6 linked regions of the Ovis aries genome follow. The protein of the gene in region 2 purifies or fractionates together with the protein of the main gene of each other region. This does not show direct contact. Links are inferred from orthologs where the notes say so. Each region holds a gene or a part of one and is shown on either strand. Other genes may lie near its edges. The genes, in order: RRP9, FBL, TGS1, C1QBP, DCAF13 and NOP58.

Evidence for each region.
Region 1: the proteins of FBL (region 2) and RRP9 purify together in Homo sapiens (affinity purification with mass spectrometry; 3 studies listed by BioGRID and IntAct, counting the BioPlex papers as one, with this or other methods). This does not show direct contact. The link is inferred for Ovis aries from reciprocal best matches to the Homo sapiens genes FBL and RRP9.
Region 3: the proteins of FBL (region 2) and TGS1 purify together in Homo sapiens (affinity purification with mass spectrometry; 3 studies listed by BioGRID and IntAct, counting the BioPlex papers as one, with this or other methods). This does not show direct contact. The link is inferred for Ovis aries from reciprocal best matches to the Homo sapiens genes FBL and TGS1.
Region 4: the proteins of FBL (region 2) and C1QBP purify together in Homo sapiens (affinity purification with mass spectrometry; 4 studies listed by BioGRID and IntAct, counting the BioPlex papers as one, with this or other methods). This does not show direct contact. The link is inferred for Ovis aries from reciprocal best matches to the Homo sapiens genes FBL and C1QBP.
Region 5: the proteins of FBL (region 2) and DCAF13 purify together in Homo sapiens (affinity purification with western blotting; 3 studies listed by BioGRID, with this or other methods). This does not show direct contact. The link is inferred for Ovis aries from reciprocal best matches to the Homo sapiens genes FBL and DCAF13.
Region 6: the proteins of FBL (region 2) and NOP58 purify together in Homo sapiens (affinity purification with mass spectrometry; 7 studies listed by BioGRID and IntAct, counting the BioPlex papers as one, with this or other methods). This does not show direct contact. The link is inferred for Ovis aries from reciprocal best matches to the Homo sapiens genes FBL and NOP58.

The regions. Positions count from the first base shown.
Region 1 is NC_056072.1:49,062,282-49,066,456, reverse strand, and holds the start of RRP9 (U3 small nucleolar RNA-interacting protein 2), read right to left. Parts: upstream 2,801-4,175; 5' UTR 2,780-2,800; coding exon 2,684-2,779; intron 2,428-2,683; coding exon 2,345-2,427; intron 1-2,344. UniProt on the Homo sapiens protein: Component of a nucleolar small nuclear ribonucleoprotein particle (snoRNP) thought to participate in the processing and modification of pre-ribosomal RNA (pre-rRNA).
Region 2 is NC_056067.1:48,796,475-48,799,974, reverse strand, and holds part of FBL (rRNA 2'-O-methyltransferase fibrillarin), read left to right. Parts: intron 1-423; coding exon 424-594; intron 595-3,500.
Region 3 is NC_056062.1:36,074,217-36,077,716, forward strand, and holds part of TGS1 (trimethylguanosine synthase), read left to right. Parts: coding exon 1-101; intron 102-1,966; coding exon 1,967-2,183; intron 2,184-3,500. UniProt on the Homo sapiens protein: Catalyzes the 2 serial methylation steps for the conversion of the 7-monomethylguanosine (m(7)G) caps of snRNAs and snoRNAs to a 2,2,7-trimethylguanosine (m(2,2,7)G) cap structure.
Region 4 is NC_056064.1:25,997,931-26,002,194, reverse strand, and holds the start of C1QBP (complement component 1 Q subcomponent-binding protein, mitochondrial), read right to left. Parts: upstream 2,801-4,264; 5' UTR 2,700-2,800; coding exon 2,477-2,699; intron 1,862-2,476; coding exon 1,711-1,861; intron 1-1,710.
Region 5 is NC_056062.1:73,986,257-73,990,467, forward strand, and holds the start of DCAF13 (DDB1- and CUL4-associated factor 13), read right to left. Parts: upstream 2,801-4,211; 5' UTR 2,715-2,800; coding exon 2,645-2,714; intron 99-2,644; coding exon 1-98. Other genes in the region: SLC25A32 (mitochondrial folate transporter/carrier), read left to right, coding at 3,244-3,400. UniProt on the Homo sapiens protein: Part of the small subunit (SSU) processome, first precursor of the small eukaryotic ribosomal subunit.
Region 6 is NC_056055.1:204,595,089-204,598,526, forward strand, and holds the end of NOP58 (nucleolar protein 58), read left to right. Parts: intron 1-33; coding exon 34-167; intron 168-2,070; coding exon 2,071-2,237; intron 2,238-2,634; coding exon 2,635-2,685; 3' UTR 2,686-2,938; downstream 2,939-3,438. UniProt on the Homo sapiens protein: Required for the biogenesis of box C/D snoRNAs such as U3, U8 and U14 snoRNAs. Part of the small subunit (SSU) processome, first precursor of the small eukaryotic ribosomal subunit.

The sequences.
Region 1 (4,175 bases), on a different chromosome or scaffold from region 2:
CTCGACTCTTTGCAACCTCACGGACTGTAGCCCACCAGGCTCCTCTGTTCACAGCATTCTCCGTGAATACTGAGAGTGGGCTGCCATTCCCTTCTCCAGGGGAGCTTTCTGACCCAGGGATAGAACCTGGGTCTCCTGCATTACAGGCTGATTCTTTACTTCCTGAGCCAGGCATGGGAGACAGGAAACAGAAGATCCAACATGGAAAGTGGAAAAGATAGATCTAAAAACAACCACCACCCCCAGACACAAGGGAGCCGCCAACCCAGATCTGACATGAGGAACCAAGAGGCAGCCGTATTGGGACTGTCACCACCCCATCCTCACTGCCGAAGCCCCATCCTCTACCCTGAGGATGGGATTCCAGGTGAAGCTTAACTGGGTCTGGCTGGACCTTGTGAAGATCTTGATTTCCCCTCCACACCTCTCACTGAAGATGAGTCCTACGCTGACTTGCTCCTGGGAGCTGGAGGTAGGTCATGGGAACTCAGAAGCAGAAAGCCCAGGGCCGCCTGTTCCCTCTGATCACGTGCCTGCAGATACCTAGTCCCTGTCAGGTACCCCAACTGTTTCCAAGACTCATCCATGACCTTACCCACAGCTTCCCCGGAAGGGACATTGGAAATTCTCAAGGAAGCCAAGGCCTCATGCTCTTCAGACCAGTTAGTACCCAGCACCAAGCAAATCTTCAGCTGACAGACTTGCTGCCCTTCCCTCATATAACCAAGGACTACACTTCTACTCAGTTTACTCAAACGAATAAATTTTTGTTTAGTGCTCACACATAGGAGACAGAACTCTAAAGAAAATCAAGAGAAGCATACACCATTATAATTCCATCCATATAACATTCTGGAAAAGGCAAAATTCTAGGGATAGCAGTTACCAGGGGAGAGAGAGAGAGGAACTGACTACACAGGAGCCAGGGGGAATTTTGGAGGGTGGTAAAACCCTTCTGTATCTTCATAGTGGTGGCAGTTTATATGAGTCTGTTACAACTCACAGAAAGGTACACTAAGAAACAAATATCACTGTATGTAAATTACACCTGAATCAGAAAAGGAAAAAAAAAAAGAGATAAAAAGGAAGGAAGGAAACCAAAGAAAATTATTAACTCAGGAATGGCAGCTGGGTCTTCCATGTTTCTGTACAGGTCTAGTTCTGGTGGGTGCACAGAGGTCCATCATTTCATCATTACTGTCTATGGCACAATTACATTTCATTAACTCTTCTGTAGCTAATACATTCCACAACACATTTGAAAAATATTTAAAAAGTGTTTCACACAGGGCCTGGCACACACCCGCAGTAACCTCAGGACTACAAAAAGAACATAAAGTCCTTCTGCAAGCAGGTTAAGACCAACACGTACTCAATATTTAGAGGCAGAATTTCTAAAGCCAACTTTAAAAAAATAACAATTTGACATTTGTATTTATTTATTTGTTGGCTCTGCTAGGTCTTTGTTGCTGTGCCCGGGCTTTTTCTACTTGTGGCAAGCGGGCACTATTCTCTAGCTGTGGTGCATGGTTGCCCTGTGGCATGTGTAATCTTCCCAGACCAGGGATTGAACCCATATTGGCAGGTGGATTCTTAGCCACTGGACCGCCAGAAAAGTCCTCTAAAGCCAACTGTGAAGGAAGGCACCAGGATTTCCTGGTGTGACAGCTTCCATTCCACAAGGTCAGGCTTGACACCTTGCTAGCCCCCTCTGAACTCCGCAGTATGTCCCACCCCCATCACCTGCGGAATGAAGGAGGTACACAAAGCCCTTCACAATCTGGATGCACGCACCACCTGCCCTTCCACCCTCTCCATCTTCCATCTGGCCCGTTTAACCCCTAGACTTTTCTCTGATCCCTGAATGCCTTCCCTACCTCTCCATAAGGAAGCGCTCCTGATCTCTCCAAGCCCTATTTAAACTCCCGTTCTCTGTTCCCACAACACACAGCTCTAAGATACGCCTCCCATCACAACACACTCTGTCTTCACCTGCCTGCTTGTCTCTGTTCTCAAAACAATGAAACTAGTGCCTGACACTCTCCGTAACTGAAATTGTGAAGAACTAACGAGCATTTCTTGCATCCTCCCCTTGCCTGGAGTTCAGCTCCCTGTCACGAGCCAGGAAGGGTCAGCAGGCCTCCCATTGGGACTGGGGGTCCTCCCCACACAGAGACCCTGCAGAGAAGGAAATGACAGTTCTCAGGGTCAGAAAGTGGAGGAAAGAGTTAAGACCTGAGATCCTGGGTTCTGGCCCAGTTCTAGCACCCCTTCAACTGAGGATTCCTTCCATACACCACGGGTTCCAGGGTTCCTTTCCACTAGGTGGAAAAAAAGAGCTCACCTCTCACTCTCTGAGTCGCTCGAGATCTCCTCATTCATCTTTCCGCCACCCTTGGACTTGACCTTGTCCCCAGAGGAGTCGCCCTGGGAATTACATAATACGTTTTTGGTCAGGGGTCCCGACCACTCGGGCTCTGACCAACAGTCCCTTAGGGTCCCTCGAGAGCCACTGGGAAAGGCAGTGGCCCCTGGCTCAAGTGAAAGGCTTTTCAGGATTTGACGCACGGAGAAAGGGACGAAGCTGACTCCAACCCGGGTCCCGGGGGCGAGACCCCCGGATGGGATTAGGGTGGTCCCAATAGGAGGGATAGATCCCCGCCTGCCAAAGCGCCATGCTTACCTTTCGTCGCCGCTTGCCGGCCCCCGCACCAGCCCCGGCCCCTGAGGCCGGCTTTCCCCTCTTACGAGCCGCCCCTGTCGCCAACATGCTGTCCATGGTGCGTGTTGCCGCAGCACTGGAGAACTCACGTGGCGGCTAAACCCTGGCAGTCCCACCAGACTCCCCGCTGTGATAGGCTCCCACCGCCCTATAGGTCCCGCCTCCCACAGCTCTATTGGGTCCTTGGATAGGTTCTGCCTCGCCCCCAAGCTCCCATAGGGTAAATGCCTGTGGCCCCGCCTCCCAAAGCTCCTATAGGCTCCCGCGCCCTGGCTCAGACGGTAAAGGAAGCAAGCCTCTTCCCGGCGCTTCCGGCCAATGACTGTGGCGCATGCGCCCCGCCGCTGACTGACGTCGGAAGAGGGGTCGGACTCCGACGCCTTCTCTGTGTTTGCGCCCCTTGGACGCTGGGGGGCGTCAGAGATGCAGGGTTCCTTTCCCTGGACCGTGACTCCTCCCCGTCAGGGGCGGGGACCAGGGTGAGAGTCTGACTCCCTAGTAACCCGGGGAGAGGGAGCCAGGCAGTCCCTGGGAGAGGAAGGCAATGCCTGCACCTGCGGCCAAGGTCACTTGACAAACCGGTGGACACGTATTGCATGCCTCAGGCGAGATGTGCACCGCTAAGGGTGCGTCAGTCCCCTGGGCCTTAGCTGTGTCCAGATCAAGTGTCCACCCATCCATGGGACAGGCTGCCCCGGCTCGACCTGCCCAGCCTCTGACTCATCAGGCTGGTGACCAAATAACGGGAAACCTATCCACACCCAGTTCATCCCGGCTCCCCTAAGGCTTACAGAGGGTTGTTAGAACTGACTGCCTGGGAGGTAGACCCGGTGGCCACCACGTCTCCCAGGTCCGTGCTTCTCTTAGGTGAGTGCCCTATGGCCCTGCCCACAGCCCTCCACAGGGCAAGGCAGGGCAGGGTGGGTGTGACTGGCTTTTACCCTCTGGCAGTTCAGTGTCACTGGTCTAGAACCTGGACTGGCATCCCAGAAGTCTTGAGTCTGATGGGAAGAGTTTCTGTGCTACTGGCTCTCAAGCTCTGGAGAGATAGAGCTGGCCTCAGGAGTGCTGCCCCCGGGAGCCGCTGCCCTCTCTCCTCCATAGCTGGGGTGACTCAGCCCAGCAACCATGCCAGGTCCAAGTCAGCTGAGAGAGGGGAGGAACAGAGAGTGCTCTGTGAGGAGGAGCCCAGAAGTGGGAGGGGGGAGATTTTCCTTTCACTTTCCCTTCCACCTCAGTACACACAGGAGAGCTAGGGAGGGTGGAGAGCCCCTCTTCCTTAACCAAACTGGGAAAGTTGTTCAGAGGCCGGGCCTGGCCCCAGTGACTAGAGAAAGGGGCCTGTCCGGGGTGCAGAGATCTGGGCCTGATGAGCTATGGAATGAGGTTCGTGACATCGTACAGAGCACAGAGATCAAGACCGTCCCCATGGAAAAGAAATGCAAAAAAGCCA
Region 2 (3,500 bases):
ACACGCCCCTTCCTGGCTTGACCTTCTTCTGAGCACCTGTCACTGGCTCCTATGCCGTGTGTGTCCATTCAGCATGTCCTCACTCCTGGAGAGCAAGGCCTTTGTCCCCTTCGGTGTGTTTGCCCAGTGCCTGAGCTTAGGGGCCGGCACAGGCAGTGTTCGTAGAACGAACACAGAGGTCTTGCCTTACTGTTGTCTGGGGTGATCTTGTCTTTATTGTCCCCATCGCTGCCCCTTCTCCCTGAGTCAGGAACCCCCACGAGAGCACAGGCCCTGCCTGTTGTGGTCATAGATGGATATACTCATTTGTTTCTTGTACAATGACTGGGGGCCCAGTCCCTTTTGAGGGCCCTAGAGTTAAGAGCCTTGGGGTCTTGCAGAAGAGCCTGGCACTGACTTCCATCCCCATCTCTCTCGGTGCAGGAGGGAGATGACAAAATTGAGTACCGTGCCTGGAACCCCTTCCGTTCCAAGCTGGCAGCGGCAATCCTGGGCGGGGTGGACCAGATCCACATCAAGCCAGGGGCCAAGGTCCTCTACCTCGGGGCTGCCTCGGGCACCACCGTCTCCCACGTCTCTGATATCGTTGGCCCGGTGAGTAGACAGAGGGACAGGAGGAGGTGGGAGGGAGGGAAAGGTCCCCTTCTCTGCCAGCCTGGATTCAGAGGCCCTGGCTGCTTCCCTGCACCGAGGGGCTCGGAGCCAGGGCCTTCCTGATCACAGTGCCTGTGCGTGAAGCAGCGGCTTGAACCACATGGTCTCCAGAGCTCCATTCAGCCTCACACCTGAGTTCTTGGCCTAGAACGAAGGGGCTTGGGTGTCGGGGCAACCAGTGTTGGGGGGCCCAGAGCTGAGAATACACTGGATTTGATTGCTCCCCTCTGGGACTTTGCTGGCGGTCCAGTGGTTAAGACTGCACGCTTCCACTGCAGAGGGTGTGGTTCCATCCCTGGTTATGGAACTAAGATCCTACATGCCATGTGGTGCAGCCAAAAAAAAGATAGCCCTCAAATCTGGGCTTCTGGTTTCCCTAAACAGGAGATTGTCAGTTTGGGGGCCTATGCTTCTGTGCAGCTGGACAGCCTCCCTGTTGAGAGGGCACCCACACATCTCACTTCATGATCCCTCACTTGGCTGTGAGGCTAGAGGGTGTGTAATTTAATGGTTAAAAACCCCAGACTCTGGTGCGGGCTCTTAACAGTGAAGTGGCTTTGAGCAAGTACTTACTCCCTCTGAACCTCAGTGTAACCCTCTAGAAAATGGGTGATTGTGATGATAAGTGAATTAAATCCTGTAACATGCCTAGAGCAGTGTCTGGCCAGGTGCAGGTATTCTTAGCTGTTACGTCATCTCATCTCTATGCCCTAGCTTCCTCATTTTAAGCCTAAACTGGGGGCCTGGGCTCTCAGATCAGACAAAGTAGGATGGAATAACCCTTGGACCTAGTATATTCACCTGTAAAATGATAACAAGGGCTTCCCAGGTGCCTCTAGTTGTAAAGAACCCACCTGCCAATGCAGGAGATACAGGAGACTTGGGTTCAATCCCTGGGTTGGAAAGATCCTCCAGAAGGGCATGGCAACCCACTCCAGTATTCTTGCCTAGAGAATCCCATGGACAGAGGAGCCTGGCAGGCTACAGTCAGTGGGGTCACAAAGAATCAGACAGGACTGAAGTGACTTAACATGCACACACACATCATGATAACCGGTCATTAAATGGTAATGTTTTGATTTGGGGATTTGAAGAGCTGCATGTGGCTTCAAGAAAATTGAGATCCCCAATGGAACATTTCATGCAAAGATGGGCTCAATAAAGGACAGAAATGGTATGGACCTAACAGAAGCAGAAGATATGAAGAAGAGGTGGCAAGAATAACTATACAAGAAAGATCTTAATGACCCAGATAATCACCACGGTGTGATCACTCACCTAGAGCCAGACATCCTGGAATGTGAAGTCAAGTGGGCCTTAGAAAGCATCACTACGGACAAAGCTAGTGGAGGTGATGGAGGTCCAGTTGAGCTATTTCAAATCCTGAAAGATGATGCTGCCAAAGTGCTGCACTCAATATGTCAGCAAATTTGGAAAACTCAGCAGAGGCCTCAGGACTGGAAAAGGTCAGATTTCATCCAGTCCCAAAGAAAGGCAATGTCAAAGAATGCTCAAACTACCGCACAATTGCACTCATCTCACACACTAGTAAAGTAATGCTCAAAATTCTCCAAGCCAGGCTTCTGCAATACGTGAACTGTGAACTTCCAGATGTTCAAGCTGGTTTTAGAAAAGGCAGAGGAACCAGAGATCAAATTGCCAACATCCGCTGGATCATCGAAAAAGCAAGAGAGTTCCAGAAAAACATTTACTTCTGCTTTATTGACTGTGCCAAAGCCTTTGTGTGGATCACAATAAACTGGAAAATTCTGAGAGAGATGGGAATACAGACCACCTGACCTGCCTCTTGAGAAACCTATATGCAGGTCAGGAAGCAACAGTTAGAACTGGACATGGAACAACAGACTGGTTCCAAATAGGAAAAGGAGTACGTCAAGGCTGTATATTGTCACCCTGCTTATTTAACTTCTATGCAGAGTACATCATGAGAAACTCTAGGCTGGAAGAAGCACAAGCTGGAATCAAGATTGCCGGGAGAAATATCAATCACCTCAGATATGCAGGGAGAAGGCAATGGCACCTCCCTCCGGTACTCTTGCCTGGAAAATCCTATGGACAGAGGAGCCTGGTAGGCTGCAGTCCATGGGGTCGCAGAGAGTCAGACCCGACTGAGCGACTTCACTTTCACTTTTCACTTTCATGCATTGGAGGGGGAAATGGCAACCCACTCCAGCGTTCTTGCCTGGAGAATCCCAGGGACGGTGGAGCCTGGTGGGCTGCTGTCTCTGGGGTTGCACAGAGTCGAACACGACTGAAGCAACTTAGCAGCAGCAGCAGATATGCAGATGACACCACCCTTATGGCAGAAAGTGAAGAGGAACTAAAGATTCTCTTGATGAAAGTGAAGAGGAGAGTGAAAAAGTTGCCTTAAAGCTCAACATTCAGAAAACGAAGATCATGGCATCTGGTCCCATCACTTCATGGCAAATAGATGGGGAAACAGTGGAAACAGTGTCAGACTTTGTATTTTGGGGCTTCAAAATCACTGCAGATGGTGATTGCAGCCATGAAATTAAAAGATGCTCACTCCTTGGAAGGAAAGTTATGACCAACCTAGACAGCATATTAAAAAGCAGAGACATTACTTTGCCAACAAAGGTTCATCTAGTCAGGGGTGGTTTTTCCTGTGGTCATGTATGGATGTGAGAGTTGGACTGTGAAGAAAGCTGAGTGCTGAAGAATTGATGGTTTTGAACTGTGGCGTTGGAAAAGACTCTTGAGAGTCCCTTGGACTGCAAGGACATCCAACCAGTCCATTATAAAGGAGATCAGTCCTGAGTGTTCATTGGAAGGACTGATGCTGAGGCTGAAACTCCAATACTTTG
Region 3 (3,500 bases), on a different chromosome or scaffold from region 2:
CGCGGGCAGAGTCAGCCAGTCCTTGGAGAGTGGCACCGTTGTGGACGCCTTCTGCGGAGTTGGAGGGAATACCATTCAGTTTGCTCTAACAGGGAAGAGAGGTAATTGGTCATCAGTGGTTTACTCATTAATTAATTTCAGTTTATTCATCAGATGCTTCATTTTCCTTCAGCCCTATCTTTACTGAGATATAATCATTGATAATTTAATGCCAAATATTTAACAATAATAGCATATATTAAGACTACACTTTGTGTACTGTTGTGTTTAATATGTATCACTGTATTTAGTCAACAGTCTTGTGATATGTATCTTTTATACTTTCTGTGTTTAACAAATAAACTGAGAAATAAAACATGCAATGATTTGCCCACGATCATACAGACCCAGCTCAGCAACAGCAAGATTATAACATGATATAAAAGTAAAACTGTTAAAATGGGAGAGACTGTTCTCTGGAAGAAGAGAAGCGTAGATGGTGCAGTGGGGTCCAGCTTTGCCCTCACCCACTGTATGATTTTGGACTTCCTTTAATCTTAATGGAAAGGAGACATTAAATTGAGAGAACCCTGTGATACCTTTCAGCTTTGACATCCTAAGACACTAAGACCCTTTTAAATATTAGACTGTCTTCATGGTTGGTTGACTTCAGAATCCCAGAAAAGAAGACCTGTTACTATATATCTGCCAGCAACTGTGTCAAGTAGATAATACGTGTGCTGTTTCCCGGGATGGGTTGGGGGGAGGCTTTACGAGACTGGACAAGGTAGCCAGTGGCCGCCATTCCTGGACATTGCAGTTCCCCGCAGTATCCTCCAGCACCTATCAGCACTTCATTCACCTGCCAGATTGAGTTGTTCACACTCTGTTAGGCCTGAAAACAAAAATGTCTTCCAGGAGAGCACAGATGAAAACAGGGCCATTAGCCAAATACAGTTGGTGTTGAAAGTCACTTTTTTCTGTTGAATTTTTGCTGTTGACAGTGTATTTCTGCATCTGTCTCTGTGCTATCAATTTCAGCAGATTAAGCAGCTAAAAAGGACCTTGTCCCTTTTATAAATATGAATGTTATCAGAAGAATAGTGTTGTGGATGCATGATTTTGCAACATAGGGTTGGTGCCTGTATTCATTGCTCCAGTGATTTACTTAGTGCATTATTTCCCTAAAGTATTAACAAACCTTGAAACCAACATTTTCTGTAATACAGCTGCTTCCTTGTCAACCATGGTGTATGCATCAGGATTGCACTCTGCCCTTGCAGACGTAAAATATTGCCACTAACATCCTGTTGCACACACAGGTGCACATGAGTAATTTACTCTAAGACGTGAGTGAGTTGGAATTAACTTACATTTGTGTTGCTAATTGTGAAATTGAAGTAAATTAAGTGAGAGCCCCTGCAGTAAAAACATGACCTCTGTTCCCTCTGCCTAAAACGTCTCATTAAACATCATCAGCAGGTGTTTTTGCATGTCTTCTTCATAAGTTGGCTACATAGGTTTGTCAAAAAGTGTTTTATTTGCCTTACTGTAGACATTGTCAAATCTGTCTACTTTTGGACATTGCCTCATCTTGAGGAAACTGGTCTTATCTAAAGTCTTAGCATTTCTAAACTGTCTGTGCAGCCATCACCTTCCTGTGTCTACCGTCCAGCTCTGACCACAGACCAGGCTTGGGATAATGGGTAACCACCTCTCTGCTTGCGTTGGCCCAGCGGCCTAAGTGAGACAGCTCTGCAGGCCACATCCTTGGTCTCATTTTCTTGATATAGCACAAGTGAATCTTCCTAGGTTAGGTGAAATTTTTAAATTAAATTCTCTCATTAATGTGGCCAAATCTCCCTTTAAAAACTCTTTTTAAAAGGGACTTAAACGCACAGAAAATAAAGACTGCTCAGAAGATGGACTCGTCCATATAACTGACAATCAGTATCATTGAACTCCTCTTTCTTGTTCCTATTTTTAGTGATTGCCATTGATATTGATCCTGTTAAGATCGATCTTGCTCGCAATAATGCAGAAATTTATGGCGTAGTGGACAAGATCGAGTTCATCTGTGGAGATTTCCTGCAATTGGCATCTAGTCTAAAGGCTGACATCGTGTTTCTCAGCCCACCTTGGGGAGGACCGGACTACGCCACTGCTGAGATCTTCGACATCAGCACCATGATGTCTCCTGACGGATATCCTTTGAAAGTCCTAGAGTTCACTCAAATGGTGGTTGTGGAGAGGAAACGTGTGTGTGTGTGTGTGTGTGTGTGAAATTAGTGAACAGGAGAGATGTTAGCTAATAGCATTTGAAAGATTCCAGTTTGTTTTCCATAAAAATTAACTGGTGATTGATCTCCAAAAATTACAGCAAATATGAGGTTATATTTCCATTGGTTACTCTCCAGTTGTCCCATTAGAAAACAAGAACTAAAGGGCATTAATTGTTTGGAATTACTGTCTGGAAATCAGGGATTTCCTCAGGACCTGTCCCTGGACTCTGGGTGATTGTCCCCTGACTTCAGCTCACACTGACCTAAGTTGTCTGCGTCTCCAAGTTCTGCCTGTTATTCCTCCAGGTTACTGGAGCAAACCCCTTATTTCAGGAAGACTAGCATGTGTTATTTTTCCTTTTATCTCAGTTCCCCAGAGGAGTCATTTATGGCTCTTAACAGGAATTGTTTTAAATCACTAATTAAAATTTAGAAAAAATAGGGTGGACAGAGTTACTTGTCTTTATTCTTTACTAGAAAGATGTGGTTATTGTGCTTTCCCATTCATCCTGTTTTCACAAAAACTAGGAAATAGCAGAAAGAAAGAGTGTGTATTTCTAGCTCTTGGTTTCCTACCCTAGGATAATCCAATACATAGATTAAACTTCTAATCCCTGACCTGTTGGAGACAGTTCAGTCAGTTCAGTCACTCAGTCGTGTCTGACCCTTTGTGACCCCATGGACTGCAGCACGCCAGGCATCCCTATCCATCACCAACTGCCAGAGTTTACTCAAACTCGTCTCCATTGAGTTGGTGATGCCATCCAACCATCTCATCCTCTGTTGTCCCCTTTTCCTCCTGCCTTTAATCTTTCCCAGCATCAGGGTCTTTTCCAACGAGTCAGCTCTTCACATCAGGTTATCAAAGTATTGGAGTTTCAGCTTCATTGTCAGTCCTTCCAATGACTATTCAGGACTGATTTCCTTTAGGATGGACTGGTTGGATCTCTTTGCAGTCCAAGGGACTCTCGAGTCTTCTCCAACACCACTGTTCAAAAGCATCAATTCTTCGGCTCTCAACTTTCTTTACAGTCCAACTCTCACATCTATATATGACTACTGGGAAAACCATAGCTTTGACAAGACAGACCTTTGCTCTCTTTTAGGTCCCGTTAGAAGTACTGTTGGGCTTCTCAGGTGGCTCAGTGGTAAAGAATCTGTCTGTAATGCAGAAGACCCCAGTTCAATCCCTGGGTCTGGGAGAACCCCTGGAGAAGGGAATAGCAACCCACTCCAGTT
Region 4 (4,264 bases), on a different chromosome or scaffold from region 2:
GCTACATGCGAGATCTTAGTTCCCTGACCAGGGATTGAACCCAGGTCCTCTGCGCTGGGAGCAGACACTTTGACCACCACAAAGTTCCAAAAGCCTCCTTTAAGAAAATAAAATGTACTTGGCTGGGCTGGGTCTTGGTTGCGAGGTGCATGTGACCTTTGTTGCTATGTGTGGTATTTTAGTTCCCTGATCGGGGATTGAACCCAGGTCCCCTGCACTGGGAGAGGAGAGGTTTAACCACTGGACCACCACTAAGTCCCAGGAGCCTCCTTTAAAAATCTTCCTCCATTAGAAGAAAATCTGCCTGAGAGGAAGAGAAGGAGCACCGGAGGGTTGTGGCATCAGCTGAGGATGGAGAGTAGCCCTGGCCCCAGGAAGGGGAGGCCTCACAAAGGACACCACATAGAGGAGTTCTCTGGTGGGCCAGGGGTTAGGACTTGGTGTGTTCACTGCCATGGCCTGGGTTTGATCCCCGGTCAGGGAACTAAGATTCCCACAAGCAGTGTGGCAAAAAAAAAAAAAGAATATGCTGCTGGACAGTTTTATTCTTCAGAGCAGATGTAGGAAGTTTAATAAATGACAAGGCAGGCCACAAACACCACCTAATGACAATTTTAACTTGCAAGAATCTTCACCTGACATATCATATTCCAAAATTTGAACTGAAAATTGAGTGACACTTGGAACGAGCACTGCTAGGTTGCAGACAACGCTGCCCTCTGAAGCCATGGTAACTGGCACCTTGACAGACAGAAGTTTGATGTACAGGCACAAAATCTGTCTAAGCTGTGACAGTGTGGACCAAACTGACCCCTGGACAGAGAAATGCAGCTATGTTCAGCAGCACATTATAATGGTCCCAAACTGCCTATAACTTCGCCTAGGAGAGTGGTTTGGGTCACGTTACAGACCACACAATTGATCTATGACGGGGAAAGCACTACAATACTAGGCAAAAGCACCAGCCTGCTGCTTCACAGCGCATGCAAAACTTCAAAGTGGACCGTGGATTTAAAACAGCTTAAGCAGGCCAAAAGCATCCCTCTTTTCTAATGAAAAACTATACTGCAACCCCACCCTGTTAATTATCTTGCTTTCTCAACTGTAAACAGAACAGGGGCTTTATTTTCCTCAGCCAGAGCCTGAGGGTAGTAGACCCAGCAGAGTAAATCCGATTCTGTGGGCAGTGCCGGAATCTCTGAATTTGCATGCCTAGTTGTGGGCAAGGCACAGCCTCACTCACCAGGAAGGGCTCAGTGACTGCTGCCTCTACTGGTCCAGAAGACTCCCAGTGGCTTGGCTTCAGTGCTACTGGGGTGATGTTCAGGCACTCAGTCGTGTCTGACTCTGCAACCCCATGGACTCCCTGCCAGGCTCCTCTGTCCATTGGATTTTCCAGTCAAGAATACTGGAGTGGGTTGCCATTTCAGACTCACACCTCCTCCTTTGGCAGGTGGGTTCTGGACGCCAAGCCACTGGGGAACCCCGCTACTAGCTTACTGTCTCCTTGTTAACCACCACAGCACATTACTGTGCAGTGAATAAGCAAAAAGGAGCCTAAGAAGTTATCCAAACGAATCATACCATCTCTGGGAAACCAGGAGTCAGTTAAGCACCTGTCTTAACTAAAAGTTGTTGTGGATACCTCACAGCAGGTCCTGCAGGTTTATGGATGTGGTCCCCTGGGCTCCATAGGCCCCTGGTACTTACTTTTCTCCAGCAACTTTCCGCACTAATTTGGCTTCCGTCCCATTCACTTCCAATTCCCAACCTCCTGACATTTTGGGGAGAGACTTATATTTCTGTATCTTCTTTTCCTCCTTGATCTCATCGCTGAGGAAGTCAACGAAAGCTTTGTCTCCTACAATGGAAATAAGTTACAGAAAGAGCCAATTAGTCTAAAATGGAAAATGACCCCGTTACTACAAGCAAAGACCAGGACTTAGCCTGTTTTTTCCTAATACTTCTATTAATGGTGGCTCTGTGGACTTAGCCCAACTCATATCCATTAAACCTCAATTCCTTCATCTGTAAAAATGTAAGCTATCAGTGGGAAGCTGAGCATGGATTCTAGGAAAGTGATCCCGAATAATGAACTTCTCACGACGTTTCAAAATAAAGCAAAAAAAAAAAAAAAAAAAATCGCCACTACCCTTTCACTTGCCAAGAAACATCACGCTACTTCTAACCGCGACCTTGGGCTTTCGCAAAGTTCCATTTTCGAGAGACTGAGGTAAAGCCGGCCTCCAGGACTTTACAGTATCTATCCCCGCAGTCAAACAGGGGTGGGGGAGGACGGGAAATGTTACTACGCGTGGGTTTAACTAGCAGGTCGACCATCACTGGGAGAATGTTCCGGACCTCAGGAGCGGCTCCGGACTGTCCATTCAGGTGGTCTACACCTCCCAGCCCCTAACACCCCGCCCCACCTAGGCCCACGCCCCTCACGCCCCCGGCCCACGTGCATGAGTCTCACCTTCGGTGTGCAGTCCGCTACAGCCGCAGCCGCAAGCGCAGGGCCCCCGAGGCTTCAGGAGGCCGGGCAGCTGAACCGACCCCGCGCGCACGCTCAGCAGCCCGAAGGGCCGGGCGCATGGCCGGGACGCGGGCTGCAGAAGCGGCAGGGAGGGTGCGGCGGCGCGGAGACCAGCGACGGCAGAACCCAGGACGCGGGGCACGCAGCGCAGCAGCTGGAACATTTTGGCAGCGGAGGCGGTGGCGAACACGTGCAGATTCGAAATACAACTCTCGCTTAGAAGGACAACTCCTTGCCGCTGCGCCCCCTAGATCTGGGACCGCCGCCGGAAGTCCCGCCCCACAGCCGGGAAGTGCTTCCGCGCCGCCGCCTTGCAGACCAGAAGGCACAGTGGGCAGGACCCTGCCCTCTGCTGGTGGCCTCCGGTGTAGCCTCCCAGGGAGGCTTGGAATCTGATTCCTAAACTTTAGTTCTGCAGCAACAGGAATCTTCAGGAACTAAAGAAGTTTAGGAATCCTGAAATGGGAAATCAAGTGGGCCTTAGGAAGCATCACTACGAACAAAGCTAGTGGAGGGGATGGAATTTCAAATCCTGAAAGATGATGCTATGAAAGTGCTGCACTCAATATGCTAGCAAATTTGGAAAACTCAGCAGTGGCCACCGGACTGGAAAAGCTGTTTTCATTCCAGTCCCAAAGAATGTTCAAACTACTGCACAACTGCACTCACCTCACACGCTAGCAAAGGAATGCTCAAAATTCTCCAAGCCAGGCTTCAACAGTATGTGAACTATGAACTTCCAGATGTTCAAGCTGGATTTAGAAAAGGCAGAGGAACCAGAGATCAAATTGCCAACATCCGCTGGATCATGGAAAAAGCAAGAGAGTTCCAGAAAAACATCTACTTTTGCTTTATTGACTACACCAAAGCCTTTGACTATGTGGATCACAACAAACTGTGGAAAATTCTGAGAGATGGGAATACCAGACCACCTTACCTGTCTCTGAGAAATCTGTATGCAGGTCAAGAAGCAACAGTTAGACCTGGACATGGAACAACAGACTTGTTCCAAATTGGGAAAGGAGTAAGTCAAGGCTGTATATTGTCACCCTGCTTATTTAACTTCTATGCAGAGTACATCGTGCGAAATGCGGGCTGGATGAAGCACAAGCTGGAATCAAGATTGCCAGGAGAAATATCAATAACCTCAGATATGCAGATGACACCACCCTTATGGCAGAAGGTGAAGAACTAAAGAGCCTCTTGATGAAAGTGGAAAGGAGAGTGAAAAATTTGCCTTAAAACTCAACATTCAGAAAACAAAGATCATGGCATCTGGTCCCATCACTTCATGGCAAATAGATGGGGAAACAATGGAAACAGTGAGACTTTATCTTCTTGGGCTCCAAAATCACTGCAGATGGTGACTGCAGCCATGAAATTAAAAGACGTTTGCTTCTTGGAAGAAAAACTATGACCAATCTAGATAGCATGTTAAAAAACAGAGACATTGCTTTGCCTACAAAGGTCCATCTAGTCAAAGCTATGGTTTTTCCAGTAGTCATGTATGGATGTGAGAGTTGGACTATAAAGAAAGGTGAGTGCCGAAGAATTGATGCTTTTAAACTGTGGTGTTGGAGAAGACTCTTGAGAGTCCTTTGGACTGCAAGATCAAACCAGTCCATCCTAAAGGAAATCAGTCCTGAATATTCATTGGAAGGACTGATGCTGAAGCTGAAACTCCAATACTCTGGCCACTTGATGCAGAGTTCTTTTCATTGGAAAAGA
Region 5 (4,211 bases), on a different chromosome or scaffold from region 2:
TTTTGCAAATACCCGTTCCAGTTTGGTAGCATTTAAAGCTCTTATATATTCTCGTGGGACCTCAAAAGGATGTAAGGTAGGATCATAGTTTCTTGGAACTGAAATAAGAATGATTCCTCTTAATAAAATAATTCACATTTAATACCTCCTGTGGTATTCCTTGGCTAATCATTCAATATATTATTCAATAAGCCTTTATTAGGGACACTGACTATGCTGAGGACTAAAACTAAAAACACTGAAGACCTTTTGTCCAGAACCTTTCCAAAATGACCAGAAAGTGATAGAACACATACATCTTGCAAAATAACTAGACTCTATACATACACACACACACAACTTTTCCTTTTCTATGTCCTACTACGCTCTTCAACTGGGTTATAAGCCTTCATCTGCAGGGCTTCTGCTACATTCTTCATTACATCTCTTATACCCAGCACAAAACAAGTGCATCATAAACGTTTGCTCAACTGACCTCTTAAGCTCCTTACTGGGTGTGTGTATGCATGCTAAGTTGCTTAAGTCGTGTCTGACTCTGTGCAACCCATTGAACATAGCCCACCAGGCTCCTCTGTCCATGGGAATCCCTAGGCAGGGGATCCTCCTGATTCAGGGATCGAACCCATATATCCTGCATCTCCTGCACTGGCAGATGGGTTCTTCATCACTAACGCCATCTGGGAAGCCCCCTTACTGGGCAGGGAACACTAATAATCTCCAGTGCTGATCACTGTACAATGTTGTGATATGATGATTATACTATTTATTGAGCACTTTCAATGTTTGATTTTGTGTGTGCATGTTAGTCGCTCAGTTGGGTCCAACTCTTTGCGACCCCATGGACTGCAGCCTGTCAGGCTCCTCTGCTCATGGAATTCTCCAGGCAAGAATGCTGGAGTGGGTTGCCATTCCCTTCTCCAGGGGACCTTCCTGGAGGAACTGAACATGGGTCTCCCACACTGCGGGCAGATTCTTTCCCAGGTTCAGATGGGAAGCCCATCTGAACCCTACACATCCTTTAAAAAAAATTCAGCTTAAATCTTGTATCTTCTATAAATTTTTCCAAATACCCATAATTATGCCCACCTCTAAATTCAATTCAGTCAACAAGAAACACTCAACAAAGATATACGGAACACCTCCCATATACCATAAGCACTCAGGACATCAGAGCAAACAAACTCACCGTACATATTTATGTATGTTGTTCTTATACATTTGTATGTTATCAGCTATGTTACCAACAGAGTTTTAAAAATACAGATTCCCTGATGCCCACATCCCGGATCTATGAGTCAGAATACTCAAATAAGTATTTGAATACTGCACAAAATTTACAAAGACCACTTAAACAAAAAAAATCTATGACCAACCAGTTACCCATTCCTTCATTCAGACATTAATAACGCAACTACTAGGTGCCAGGTGCTCTCTAAACACAGGGGACATAGAAACAAACACAACTGGGCCACTCTCTGCAAGCTCGATCTGATTAAAGAAAAAGACTGATAGTCACAAAAATAATGAGACAATGTAATAAGCACTCTAATATTAATATAAAAATATGAAACAGAAGCATAGGAGGGTGCCTACATGCGTACAGGATGGGGGGAAATCTGCAGGGGACAGAAACTGGATAGAGGTGTGTGCCATCGCATGCCTGAAAGAGAATGCCTGAAAGGCACACAGACTAACGAGAGTACATATACACTAGCTGTAGAAAAAGTAGTCACCCATGAAAGGAGAGAGGAAGATGGGACCAAGTTTAAGGAGTAGGGATGATGTCAAGTCTGAGTCACATAATCTACTTTGCATTTTAAGAACACTGCTGTTTTGATACTTAACCTGTAAACATCTTGTGAGCAGAGACCATTTAGTTAGCATTGCTCACGATATATACGGATAAGCTGTATGACTCAATCATATGGAAATATTGTTCCAGCCTCCCCTTCTATGGCTCACCCCTACCTCAAACTGCGAAGACATGGCCCTTTTCTTATGCCATAAGTTTATTCCTGCCTTAAGGCCTTTGCACCTGTTACTCACTTCACACATGGTTGGTCACTTAGCTATAATTCATTAAGTAGTCAGCAGGTTAATGAGGGAACAGACCAGTACAGACAAAACCCATTAATTTCATTTTAGTCATTCCCCCACTAAAATTCCCCACAAGAGTTTTTAAGAGAAAACTGACGGCGTTAAGTGTCACCTTTGTCTGTTCCCACATCCCGAAATACGTAACTTTAGCAAAGTTGTCGAAAGTTAGAGTAACAAGGAGAGGTTTAAAGAAGTTTGTTTAATTGTTAATTCCTTCACAATCCACGAGTTTGGCTCATTCAAGTCCACGTTCCCCTCAACGGGACCCTGAGAACAATCAGAGAGCAGCAGCTGAAAGCGGTGTAGACGGAATCATTTCCCCATATAACTAACTGTCACTGACCACTAGACAAAAGTTATGAGGAAAGGGATTTGAAGACAAGTGTTCTGCTACCCAGAACCAGAAGCGCTTTATAAACCAAGAGCCCTAGCGAAAGAAAACAGGTAAACAACGAGAGTGAAACACGTCTCCCCTCCCCAACCAGCTTTACTCGGTGGAGCCGAGGCTGGATCCAAGGCTGGCGGACTCCCAACTAACTTGTCTCACCTCGGTGTAAGTCCAATTTGGTTTCGCGGACATAGTGGTCGGGGTTCCGACTCAGCATCTTCACCTTCATCTTGCTGCCAGTTCACCGGGATCTCACGACCCTCTCCCTCCCAGCCCCAGTTACCGCCGCCGCAGACGCCGTCTCCACCAACACATGCCACTTCCGCTTTTTCCCGACTACTTCCTGTCATGTGACTTCCGCGGAGCGGAAACCGGCTTCAGGTGGGCTCTGCGGCGCTCCGTACTCGCGCGGACAAAGGTTGGCCGGGGGCGGTGCTTCATCTGTGTTCGCAGATCCACGCAGTTCAGCCTAAACCCAGCCGCGGAGGTGGGCGAGGCGGGGCGGGGCCTTGGCGGAGGCGCCCCGCCCCGCTGCCCACTCTCCCTCGGCCGCTTGAGTTGCGGCCGCGCCGCTCTAGTCAGTCACTCGTGCGCCTAGGTCTCTCGGCTTCACCCTCGCCTCCGCGAGTGTGACTCCACGCGCGGGTGCCGGAAGTGGGCTCGTGCCCTGCGGTTTCTGCTCCAGCGCGGCGACCGTCGCCACGGTGGCGGCCACTGCATCTCGTCCCACGCCCGCGGTATCAGCGGACCCTGAGCCCATGACAGGCCAGGGCCAGTCGGCGTCCGGCTGGTCGGCGTGGAGCAGCACAATATTCCGCCACGTCCACTACGAGAATCTGGTGGCGGGCGTGACCGGCGGGGTCCTTTCCAACCTCGCGCTGCACCCGCTTGACCTCGTGAAGATCCGCTTCGCCGGTAAGAGACCAGTCAGACCCTGGGCTTCTCCTTGCTGTCACCCCGAACCGAGTGATAAAGACGCAGAGGGACGGCTTCGTCCTCACCTGCCTCTTGCGTACTGCAGGCGAGGCGAGAGCTTAAGAAGAATGCTTTTTGCCCGGGCTCCCGTGGGACCAGATTTGAGGAAAGGGAGTCTGGTTTAAGTGGTCTGGCTGCCGGCGTCCCCTTTTCCCCGATACTGAGGAATGAGCAGAATGGATGTCAAAGTCTGAGAAAGGTCCTCATTGGTATAGAACGTGGAACTCAAAAGCCTGCTTTATAAAATAAGAAAGGGTTGATCACATTTCAGGGCTTAAACCTCACACGTGCAAATTGTTCTCCCTTGGAGATACAAGTACCCGCCACCCCCCACCCCAACCCCCAGCTTTTCGAAAGTTCTGTTCACACCACCTGGCTTTTAGGAAAGGCTTTCATTAGTAAGCCTTTTTCCGCTCACCCCCAAATCGCAAAGAATCGAAGAGGATTTTCGCCATTACAAAAAGAAGGCGAAAATCGAGAATAGAAAGTTCAGCGTTTGTTTTGCACCAAGCCTTTGAGAGGCAGCGTGCACCACCAGCTCCTTTCCCGGAAACTACATTCAACATCTCAGCGTCAATCAGTCATAGCTTTGAACTGTTTCTGTGAGCATCTGTGCTTTATCTGGATTTATTTCGTGCATCCTTTAGCAAAGTGCGTGTTAAGGTAATTGCTTCTTCACGTTATGCACTTTTGGCCTATATTAAAGCTTTCATGCTTTACTTTAGCATCGCCAGGAAACCTGTACTTGGAA
Region 6 (3,438 bases), on a different chromosome or scaffold from region 2:
TAAAGATTTTCTAAGATTCTGTGGCTCTTTCAGTGAAGTGAAGACTTACGATCCTTCTGGTGACTCTACACTACCAACCTATTCTAAAAAACGCAAGATTGAAGAAGTAGACAAAGAGGATGAAGTTACTGAAAAGAAGGCCAAAAAGGCCAAGGTTAAAATTAAGGGTTAGTTTGAATTTTGTTAATGTCATTTATATTCCTGTTGGATAAGAAGTATGGAGTTCTGTATGACTCAGGGAACTCAAACTGGGGCTCTGTAACAACCTAGAGGGGCAGGAGGTGGGAGGAGGTATATGTACACTTAATGGCTAATTCATGTTGATGTGTGGCAGAAATCAAACCAGTATTGTAAAGCAATTATCCTTCAATTAAAAATATATTAAGAAAAATGGGGAAAGTGCATACAATAGAACTTTATTATGAAACCACCATATTGAAAGCTAATTCTATTAATAACCATCTTCTCTAGGGAGTTAGAATATTGTTAAATTTATCATATTTCATAAGAGAAAGGGGAAAAGCATCTCTTTGAATATATAGGGTTATATTAAGTGTATCAAAACTTTAATTTCTAACGTGAACTATTTTGAGAATCAGCTTAAAAGAGAAGAAAACAAGGTATGTGGTTTCTAAGTTAGTAGCTGAAATATTTTGGTTGAGCATAGAAGTGATGCAGCAGTGCTTCATTATTTCTGTTACATGAAAAGAACTAGAGTAATGACCCGGTAGCTACCATCAGAGTGATCGTTAACAGGTGCTCCCCAGTGAACTAGGCTCTCTTAAGTTGATAAGTAAATTCCTCCATTTGTTAGCTGTACTTGTGTTGAGTGATTAGCATTAAAGAAATTACCATTTAACTTTGTTTCTAAATAGCTTAGAGGTCAAAAAGCACTATCAGCAAATGTGGATTCTGCCCTGGGTGAAGAAAACATAAGCAAGTTATTTAACCCCTGTGTTTCATTTTCCCTGTTGAACAAAAAGAACTGTAAACCCATTAGTAGATTTGAATCTTGACTTGTAATATTCATTAAGCTTTTCAAACTTAACCTTCCTGGATCTTTGCCACTCCCAGTCCATTTCTACATGATATTCTCCATCTTATAAATGGGAATCCTAGTTGCTTTGGCCTTTAACATTGACTTGTCTTATCATTCTGGTAGCACATCCTCTTAATTCTACGTGGAAAGTATTTCTAGCACCTAACCATTTATCATACCAATCACTGCCGTTCTTAGTGTAGCAGCTGCAAGGGCACTCCCATTGCCTTCTCATCTAATTCTATTCCATTGGTCACTGCTCCAGCCGCATTAGCCGCCTTGCTACTCCATGAACCTGCCAACTTCCCTTCTTTCCTGAAATAATCTTAGTATTTGCTCTTCTCTTGATGTGAGATATTTTCCCTCAATATAGATGAATTGTTCACTTCCTTTTCTTTTTTAGGTGTTTGCCTAACTACCCTGTATAAAATGTCCACAGGAATTGCCTTCATTTGTGCTCCTTTCTTTGTTTGCTTTTATCCTTTGGACTGTTTACTATGTAAAATATTTTATGGTGTACTTTTTTTCTGGTTTTTGGTCTGTTTCCTAGTAAAATAAAGGGTTTGTAAGGGCAAGAATTTTTATCTGTGCTATTCCTTGCTGTATCTCCAGTTGTCTAGAACAAGCCCTAGCATATAGTAGGTACTAAATAAGTGTTTGGTCAATGAATTTCTAATGATAGCTACCCATTATTGAGTCCTTATTTTAGTGTGCTAAGCATTTATGCTAACCATTTTGCATAAATTTTCATGTGTTAAATCAGCAAACCCTAAAAATAGTCAAAAGAGATAGACGTTACTAAATTTTAAAAGAATGAAGAGGTTGGGTTTACAGAGGTATTAAATTGCTTACTATCATTTATTGTTAGTACTATTATACTAGGTAAATATTTGAAGGACCTTTACAGCTATTAAATTACATGTAACAAACATTGGAGAGTTGACCAGAATGTTGGGAAAAAAGACTCAAAGGGGGTTGAAGGGAGAGAAGCCTGATACAATGTTAATTGTAGTATTTTTACACTTGTTCAGTTGAAGAAGAAGTAGTAGAAGATGCAGAAGACACAGAAGAAGAAGTAGTACAAGTTGTAGAAGAACAGGAAACATCTGTGAAGAAGAAGAAGAAAAAGGACAAAAAGAAACACGTTAAGGAAGAACCACTTTCTGAAGAAGAGCCATGCACCAGCACAGCAGTTGCTGTATGTTTGTTTTTAATTATTAATATTTTGTTGACATGGGCAGAGATTCCATATTTTATTCTACTCTGTATGTTAGAAATTAACAGGTAGTTTTTTAAAAACCATTTTTTAAAATGGTTTCATTTAAGAGAAACAATTAGAAAACTCACTGTTTGGAACTCCCATGTTACAAAAAGCCGCTTCCCAAACCTAGAATCTTACTACAAAATGGGTTTGGTCTGAAATGGAAGAGAGTATCATTTGCTACAAGTCACAAAGGTGATCTTTAGATTTTAGTCTTTCTTCCAATCTTGTTTTCAAGAGAAATAAAATAGACTGCTTTTTATAAAGAAAAGTTATTTTTAGTCACTTGTACATTTCCAGCTCTTTCAAAAGCATTCTTGTTGATTATTTTCAGAGTCCAGAGAAAAAGAAGAAAAAGAAAAAAAAGAAAGTTAATGAGGACTAATGGAAGGAACCATTCTTTCAAAGAGTTCATAATTGAATCACCTGGATACATCATGCTTACGATTCAGTCAGAAATGTACGCAAGATACTCTGTAAAATAATTGATGGGAGGTTTGGTGAGAAAGAAAGATTAATCATTAATAGCATTTCATACCTATTTGTGTCTTGACATACTTTAACTATGTTAATTTTATTATGTCATCATTTCTTAGGATATTTGTTATACAAATAAAAATATTTTCTTTGTATTTTAAGGCAGTTCTGTGATTTCTCTACTTTAGGTCGAGAATTTGGGGCTCCTTATGTTATGTAGCATTGATAATTAGTATTTTGATAATTATACCTGAAAAGTGAGAGCTGTGAACCATTAATTTGAAATTTAGCCTTTCGGAAGACAATAATTAGATGGACCAGTTTAAGAATCCCACTTAATGTGTTTCTCTTGCCTTTTTGGACTGTCTTCTGTTTTTCTCCTACCTTTCTGTTTTTGTTATTTAAGTAAAGCTGTCTATTGTGTTCGAAGCTTTAAAATTAGGTGAACAAACTTTGTTTCTGTCTCTTTAGGAAGAAAAAAACTGTCCCTAACTTAATTTGCATTTCTAGAATGTGGAAGAAAATCATTATTAATCTAGACCCTGATTTGTTTTTAAAGTAATCTAAAGTGGTGTTTTAAAAAGATAATACAAAATAAGTGAAGAATGGGGGTGTATAAAGGAAAAACAAGAGGAGAAAAAATAAAATGTCAGTAGGAGTG